2 linked regions of the Caenorhabditis elegans genome follow. The protein of the gene in region 1 purifies or fractionates together with the protein of each later gene. This does not show direct contact. Each region holds a gene or a part of one and is shown on either strand. Other genes may lie near its edges.

Region 1 (3,657 bases):
CGAACAGAGGAAATTAACTTATGATTGTTGATTTCTTCTAGCCAGTTGATTTGTCTTCTGCTCGAATTGAATTCGCAAGGCTTCTTCCTTAACATCCACATACTCCAATTGTGCTCGTAGAAGCGCTGTATCCATTCCCTTCTCTTGAGCTTGCTTAATTTGTTCTCGAAGCATTTTTCTCTCCAAATTGGAGGTCAAAATGTGTGGTGGAGCGCTCCATATTTCGTCCAAATCTGATGGTTCTCTGAGCCAACCGAAATAGATTACAATTGCTATAAGACTTCCGATAGCTGATAGCACTTTTTTGTTGGCATACGCGTCTGATGAGTAGTAATCTGGCTTGAATTGTGGCATTCCTCGAGATCCACGACCCTGAAAGACATCTACTAAAATAATTATTTATGCTTCGAGGTAATTACTTGAAATGCGGCACTTTGTGTAAACTTCGGTTCAGGTGCGTTTCTCTTGGTTGCCAATCCTCTGGCTTGAGCTAATATTGAGGAACGAGATAACAAAACCCTCCACATGTTCCTGAACAATCAGCTTTCTCGTTGGTTTATAATCATCATTGGATATTTAATAAGTTTGGGATTTAACCTCCTTCTATATTTATCAATATTAATACTCTGAAACAAGTAACAATTTATTGGATAAACAAAAAAACAAGATGATAAACGACAATTTTCGGATGGAGTGGGTGTTTTCAAATCAAGGAGAATCAGAATCAAATCAACAAATTAACAATAAAAGGATGATTAGCAGAAGTTAAGCATCAAGCTCTTTGAAGCCGTCTTTCTTGTTCCAGTGAGCTTTGAAGATAAGACGGAATTGAGACATCTTCACTTCGAAGTGCTTCAAGATTTTAGCCTGCTCCACAGTCAGCGGTTCGCCTTCTTTGCACACCTCAAACTGTTGGTAGAGGGTGATAACTCCTTTGTCAAGTTTCGTTGGGAGACCAAGTTTTCGCAGTTGTGGCTCCATAGAGAAGGCAAATTGTGAAATTGGTCCTTCTGGTAGAACAACTGTCTCTGTGGCAACATCTCCTACACGAGCGTAATCTTCTTCTGAAGCTTCGGAGAATTCACTGAAGATAAAATGCTATTAGAGAAGCAATGGTTACTCAAAACTTACGCCTCAACTTCCTTTTTGGACATGTTGGTGAACATGAGACCGCATTGACCCTTCAGAATTGCACTGGCTTTGTGAAGCTGATTTGCGTACTCATCAGACTTCTGTTTTCCAAGAGCGATAGAAATGACATTGTTCTTTCCGAAGAAAAATCTTGAATTCTCCTTGTACTTTTGTCTGATCTGTAATTCAAAAGTAATCAAATTTTAATTCAATCTGATTTTAACTAACGGCAATGAATCGTGTGCTTCTCATGTTAGCAATCGTGAAAATGAAAAGGTTTTTGTACTGATCGACACTTGCACGGACCTGGAAAAAAATAATTATTTAGTCAGCACTTCACTCTTAAATTTTACCTCATTAACCAAATTGTTCTTTGTGTCCTTAGTCTTCTTCTTGACTTTTGTGAGTGACACTGAAATATAAAAAGTTTGCCTATAATTTAATTTTACAACAAAATTACCATTTTTATCTCTGCGGGAACGAGCCATTGTGTAGAGTACTGCTGAAAATTACAATTTAATTGCAATTTAAACTATAAAAAGCTGAAAAGTAGCAGTAACAACATAGGAAAAGTTGAAGAAATGAAGAAACAAGAAAAAAAAACAGAGAAAATGATTGTGTGCAACTGCGCGTAGTGGTGTTTGCGTACCTTTGCACACCGTAACCAAAACTAATATTCAAGTTCATTTAAAGAAGTCTCAATAGCGGAGAAGATACAAAAATTGGTTGACATTGTCAGATGCTATGATTTCTTTAAAATAGGTTTAATGAGAATGTAGTAGCGGTAACCTTAAAATAAGTTTCATCTTTTTATGGTTTCAAACGAAAAAATATCAGAAGGGGATATGTAGAATTATAGATCCAACACGAAACAACACGAAACAAAACTTTCCGAGTTCCCTATGTGAAATAATACATGCTTTCTGTATCAGTTCTTTGAGATGGAATATCCACGTTGAAGTTTCAGACAGTTTAGACTGAAAATCTAGATCAGTTTCAAGTTTCAGAAAAAAAATTGGAAGATGGTAGGTCCCTTCTATATCTGAATATTCCCATAAGATTCATCTGCATCCCAATTAGCCCAATCAAGTATCGTCAGATGAGAAGCTTCTTCTTCTCTTACTTCATCTCCTTTTCTCGTTTCCCTCACTTCTCTCAATTCACGTCGTCGCGCATACATGCTCTTCGAGCAAGAGCCATGAGCTCTCCAAATCAATAATGCCGTCTCCTCTCCATGTCGCTTTTAAATTCCACTTCTCTTTTTTTCTCTTCTTTTTCATTTCGAAATTGAAACCGAATTTCAGAGGAAATGTCGAATAAAAGATTGAGGAGGATGTAGAGACGCAGAGTCATTTTCTCGTTTTGTTGTGAGCACTGCATTTTTCTTTCTTTTTTTTTTTGGTTCATCCATGCATTCTCTCTATTTTCCAGACTCTTAAATTTGCGTTTGAACGATGAAAAACAACAGGTTACCATAAATTCATTCGATTGCCAAAACTCAATTGTTAGATAAATTCGACTAGACATAGTGCTCCATTTGAATTAAAGCGTATCATCTTTAATACATAAAATCTCAAAATGTAATTTATTCAGTTTCTTCAGTTTCCGGAAATTCCCAATTCCATATCTCAATCATCATGACTCGAATAAAAGATGGAGCACGCTTCATTGAATATTTGAAATTTTTGAAACAAAATCTTGAATTCTAAATTTTCGTTATTTAGCAGAGCTGTTTGCAAATAGTTGCAGTTGAACAAAACTACGGTTTCGTGTCTTGGCACGTGGAACTTTCCAGCTACAGTACCCGCGCGTACTCCGCTGTTCTACCTCGGATACCTCTAGTTTTAAAATATTTTTGTTGCAAATATCGTTAAAGATTCACTATTGGAACTAATTCAAATATGAAAAAGGATAATGCAATGTGAAAGATTGAAGGACTATCCTACTTGCGGGTACGGTAGCTAAAAAGTTGCACTCGTGCCAGGACCCGAAACCATGAAAACTTGAAGTTTTCCGGAAACAAGTAATTAGGTTTTTAGAAAATCAATGAATGACCAGTTCCTAGTAGGATTCTACACAAGATTGATTTGAAAGATATAAACGAAAACCACAAAACTATTCCGTTTAGAAAAAGAACACAGTATTTAGTAATTTAAATATGTATAGTGGTTTAATGGATGTTCATCAACGGTGAGCGTTATATGTTAAATTGAAAATGATTCTGTAAAATTTCTTGAAATTCAATTCTCAATAATAATAATAATAATAATGTATTTTCATAGTTCAGGCTCAAAAAAGATAGATCATATGCAACCAAAATAGTCTTACGAAAAATCGTATCAAATTCTAAAATGTCTAACTTGGTTCTATTTATTGACTTTTACTGATAAATCCTTCAGAACATAATTTCCAAACATTTTCAGGCAACCATCATCGCCGTCTCATTTGGGTTCAGATCCATCTTCCAGAATGAGTGAGACGGGTCCGTCGTCATCACATTCTGTGGTTGTTGAACCACCTGATTCC
Region 2 (3,755 bases), on another chromosome or scaffold:
CTAAAATACGATTTTTTTTTGGTTTTTTTTGTCCTAGCATAGAGCCAATCTGTGCTAAAATGGACGTATTTGGTAGTAAAAAACTTCGCAAAATGCAAATTTAGAAGAAAAATTGCCTATTTCAGTTAAAATCCAATTTTGGTCACTTTTTCGTGTCGCAGCGGTCTGAAGTTTACTTTTTTTTTTCGAATTAACATCTTTTATTGCACTTTTTTTCGTAAAAAAAAATGCAATAAAGGATGATAATTCGAAAAAAAAAGCCAATTTCGGACCACTGCGACACAAAAAAGTGGCCAAAATTAGAGATTTTAGCTAAAAATAGGCTAAATTTCGACATCTTCCTTCAAAAAAATCCAACCTCAAAGTTGGATGAGGATTTGTAGGAAGTGATTCTGAGCTCAGCCATATCGAGAAGCTGTCCATCGTAAGTTCTGCCAAAAGTCAGGCAATTCGGCTTCTTCTTCGAATTTGAACCCAGCACAAACAATGAAGTATCGAATTTCGAGCCAGCACGGACGATTGGGGTCTCGTCCTCGAACAAATGGTACGGATTGTGCCTGAAAATTGAATTTTTTTTTTTGGGATGAACGGCCTTTTATCATTTTTAATTGAAAATGTGTAGAAAATCTCTAGATTTATCTGAAAATAACGTAAATTTCAGCTGAAAATGCTCAAAAATTACCTTTATTCGGCAGTTTTTGCCACTTTGAGCTGAATTCAGCTGAAATGAATGATATTTTCAGACATCTACAAATTTTTAATTAAAAATGTTAGATTCTTGTGTAGAATCATTCTGTGCGTACAAATCTGCTGATTTCAGTGCAAGTTTTTGAATTAAAAATGTATTTATTCTGTCGAAAAGTGTCTTTTTGAGGTCTTTTCAGTAAAAATCAATATTATTTTCAGATTTTTCAACTCAAAACGTGGGATTTTCAGACTGAAATTAACAGATTTGTACGAAAATCGAAGCCGCACAGTATAATTCCACACAATCGGTGAGAATCTCTAGATTTATCTGAAAATAACGTTAGTTTCAGCTGAAAATGCTCAAAAAATTGCCGAATAGAGGTAATTTTTGAGCATTTTCAGCTGAAATTAACGTTTTTTTCAGATAAATCTAGAGATTTTCAACTAATTTTCAATGAAAATGTTGGATAATTGTAGAGATCCTTGTGCGGCAATTATTTTCGTTCAAATTTGTTAAATTCAGTCTGAAAATGCAATTTTTGAATCGAAAAATCTGAAAATAATATTAATTTTTGTTGAAAAAACCTCAAAAAGGCATTTTTCAACAAAATGAATTCATTTTTGACTCTAAAACTTGAATTTTCACACTGAAATCAGCCGATTCAAGCCCTACTTGTCCATTTTAGTGGTAAGCGGCTTCTTCATGTCGAACAAATCCATCATTGCGTGGCTGATTATCTCGTTTGTCTTGGCTCCACGGCAAAATAGGGCTTTCTTGTCATTTTCGACCTGGAAATTGGTTATTTAATGCTTTTTTAGGCGAAAAATCGCGAAAATCGCAAAATTTCGATAAAAACCAACAGTTTTCGACGCCCGATTGACCAAAACTCTCTTTCCCTTCTTTGTCTTAATTTTTTCGACTCGAACCATGCTGAAAACCTGAAAAACCGCGGAATATACCTTAAAAATGCAAAAAATAGGCACAGAGATAGCAAATTTCCCGAGAAAAACGGGATTTTTTTCGAAAAATAGAGAAAAATCAATAAAATATCTATCCGTAGTTGACACCGAATGATAAACAGAAATAAATTCTTTAAAAAATAAATATTATCACAAGAAAAAAGAGGAAATTTAAGTGAAATTATTCCGGCAAAGTGGGCAAGTCGATTGATTGCTTGATTCGAACCATTTGTACTGAAAAAAAAGAAAATTGGAGAAAGTTAGGCCACGGCCACCACGGCCCCACGAAAATGGAATCTGCGTAACGGAGATCTGCGACAATTTTGCTAACATTTCGGATTGAATTGGCAAAAAATTGTAAATTTTCGATATTTTCCAGGAAAAGCAGAACATTTTTAAATTTTTTATAAGAGATAATCGAACATTTACGTTTTTTTTTTTACTTTAGAGAAAATCGAAATTTTCCGATTTTCTGTTTGAAAAAAAATTGAAAAATCCACATTTTCTATGAAAAAATCAAACATTTTCAATTTTTTTCAATTTTTCCCTGAAAAAAATAATTTTAATTGTTCAGAATTTTTTATAATCGAAATTTTCAAATTTGTGGAAATTTTTATTCAAAATTATCAGATTTTTACCTAAAAACTCCTATTTTTCTTCTTTTTTTCGATGTTTCCCGAAAAGAAAAAACGAAAATTTTCGATTTTCTCTGAAAAAATATGCAATTTTTCCATTTTATCGATTTTTGCAGGAAAAAAATTCAGAAAATCGTAAAATTTCGATTTCCAATTTTCTCAAAATTTTTTTCTGAGAAAATCGAAAAACGTTTCGCTTTTCTCTAAAAAAGTCGGTATTATCAATTTTTTTTTTGGAAAAAATTTCATCTTTTGAATTTTTTTTTTTTCAGATTTTAACTAGAAAATTCCAAAATTTTTTTTTCGATTTTTCCAGAAAAAGAAATCGGAAATAAAAAAATCATAATTTTCTGATTTTCTCTAGAAAAAATTGAAAATAATCAATTTTTCTGGAAAAAATCAAAATTTCGGAATTTTTTTCTTCAAATTATCAGATTTTCATCAGATTTCCGCAAGAAAACTCCAAATTTTCAGTGTTTTTCGTTTTCGTTTTTTGCATTTTTTAAGGGAAAAATCGCAAATTTTTCAAAAATTTCGAGTTTTCACAGAAAAAATCAGAAATTTACAATTTTTCGACTTAAAACAAAATTGAAAATTTTCGATTTTCTCTGGAAAAAATTCAAAAATCGTAAATTTTTAATTTAAAAAATCGAAATGTTTTCAGGAAAAATTGAATAGCTGCGTTTTTTTCACTGAAAAAAATCGGAAATGAAATTTTTTTTCAAAATTATCAGATTTTCATCAGAAAACTCTAAAATTTCAGCTTTTTTTTCGATTTTTCCCGAAAAAAATCGAGAAAATCGATAATTTGTTATTTTTGATTTAAAAAATCGAAACATTCCGATTTTTCAAAAAAAATTTTAAAATGTTCTCTTTTCTTTGGAAAAATTTTTGAAAATCGAAATTTTCAGATTTTCTCTGAAAAAAATCGGAAAATTTACAATTTTTTGGAATTACTCTAAAAACATTTTTTAAAACTGAAAAAAAAGTCGAAAATTCTGAAATTTTTCGATTATCTCTAATAAATCGAAAATTTCCGATTTTTTCTGAAAAAAGTCGAAAATTCTGAAATTTTTTAAATTTTCTCTAAATTTTTTTTCCTCAAAATTATCAGATTTCCGCCAGAAAACTCCAAATTTTCAGAGTTTTTTTAAAAAATATTTTTGCAGATCTGCAGATCTCCTTCTCGCGCATTTCCTCTTTCCATAGGGCTTCCTCATAACCTACCAAACAATTCGAATGGAATTTATTCTTGCACTGTTTGCACTTAATTTTCGGCAACTGATGTGTCTGCTGATGTACAGTCATCATACAAATCGTACAATCCTCAACACCCTCCACACCCTTATCAACATTCCGCTTCCACATCTCAATTCCCTCTAAAATTGCTCCATTTTGATGAAAAAGGTAGGCATTCAACTGTAAAAGCCATTTCTTCGCTCGATCCGTCTTAACAATTGCCTTATCAAGAGT

Evidence for each region.
Region 2: the proteins of F10E7.5 (region 1) and Y54E10A.10 fractionate together in Caenorhabditis elegans (co-fractionation; one large-scale study listed by BioGRID). This does not show direct contact.

The regions. Positions count from the first base shown.
Region 1 is NC_003280.10:7,109,954-7,113,610, reverse strand, and holds F10E7.5 (Ribosome assembly factor mrt4), read right to left. Parts: upstream 1,631-3,657; 5' UTR 1,620-1,630; coding exon 1,592-1,619; intron 1,544-1,591; coding exon 1,485-1,543; intron 1,438-1,484; coding exon 1,360-1,437; intron 1,311-1,359; coding exon 1,132-1,310; intron 1,085-1,131; coding exon 766-1,084; 3' UTR 629-765; downstream 1-628. Other genes in the region: F10E7.6 (uncharacterized protein), read right to left, coding at 19-372, 420-527; F10E7.9 (Amino acid permease/ SLC12A domain-containing protein), read left to right, coding at 3,601-3,657.
Region 2 is NC_003279.8:3,174,694-3,178,448, forward strand, and holds the start of Y54E10A.10 (Ribosome production factor 2 homolog), read right to left. Parts: upstream 1,627-3,755; 5' UTR 1,618-1,626; coding exon 1,549-1,617; intron 1,477-1,548; coding exon 1,361-1,476; intron 558-1,360; coding exon 359-557; intron 1-358. Other genes in the region: Y54E10A.11 (E3 ubiquitin-protein ligase listerin), read right to left, coding at 1,819-1,881, 3,510-3,755.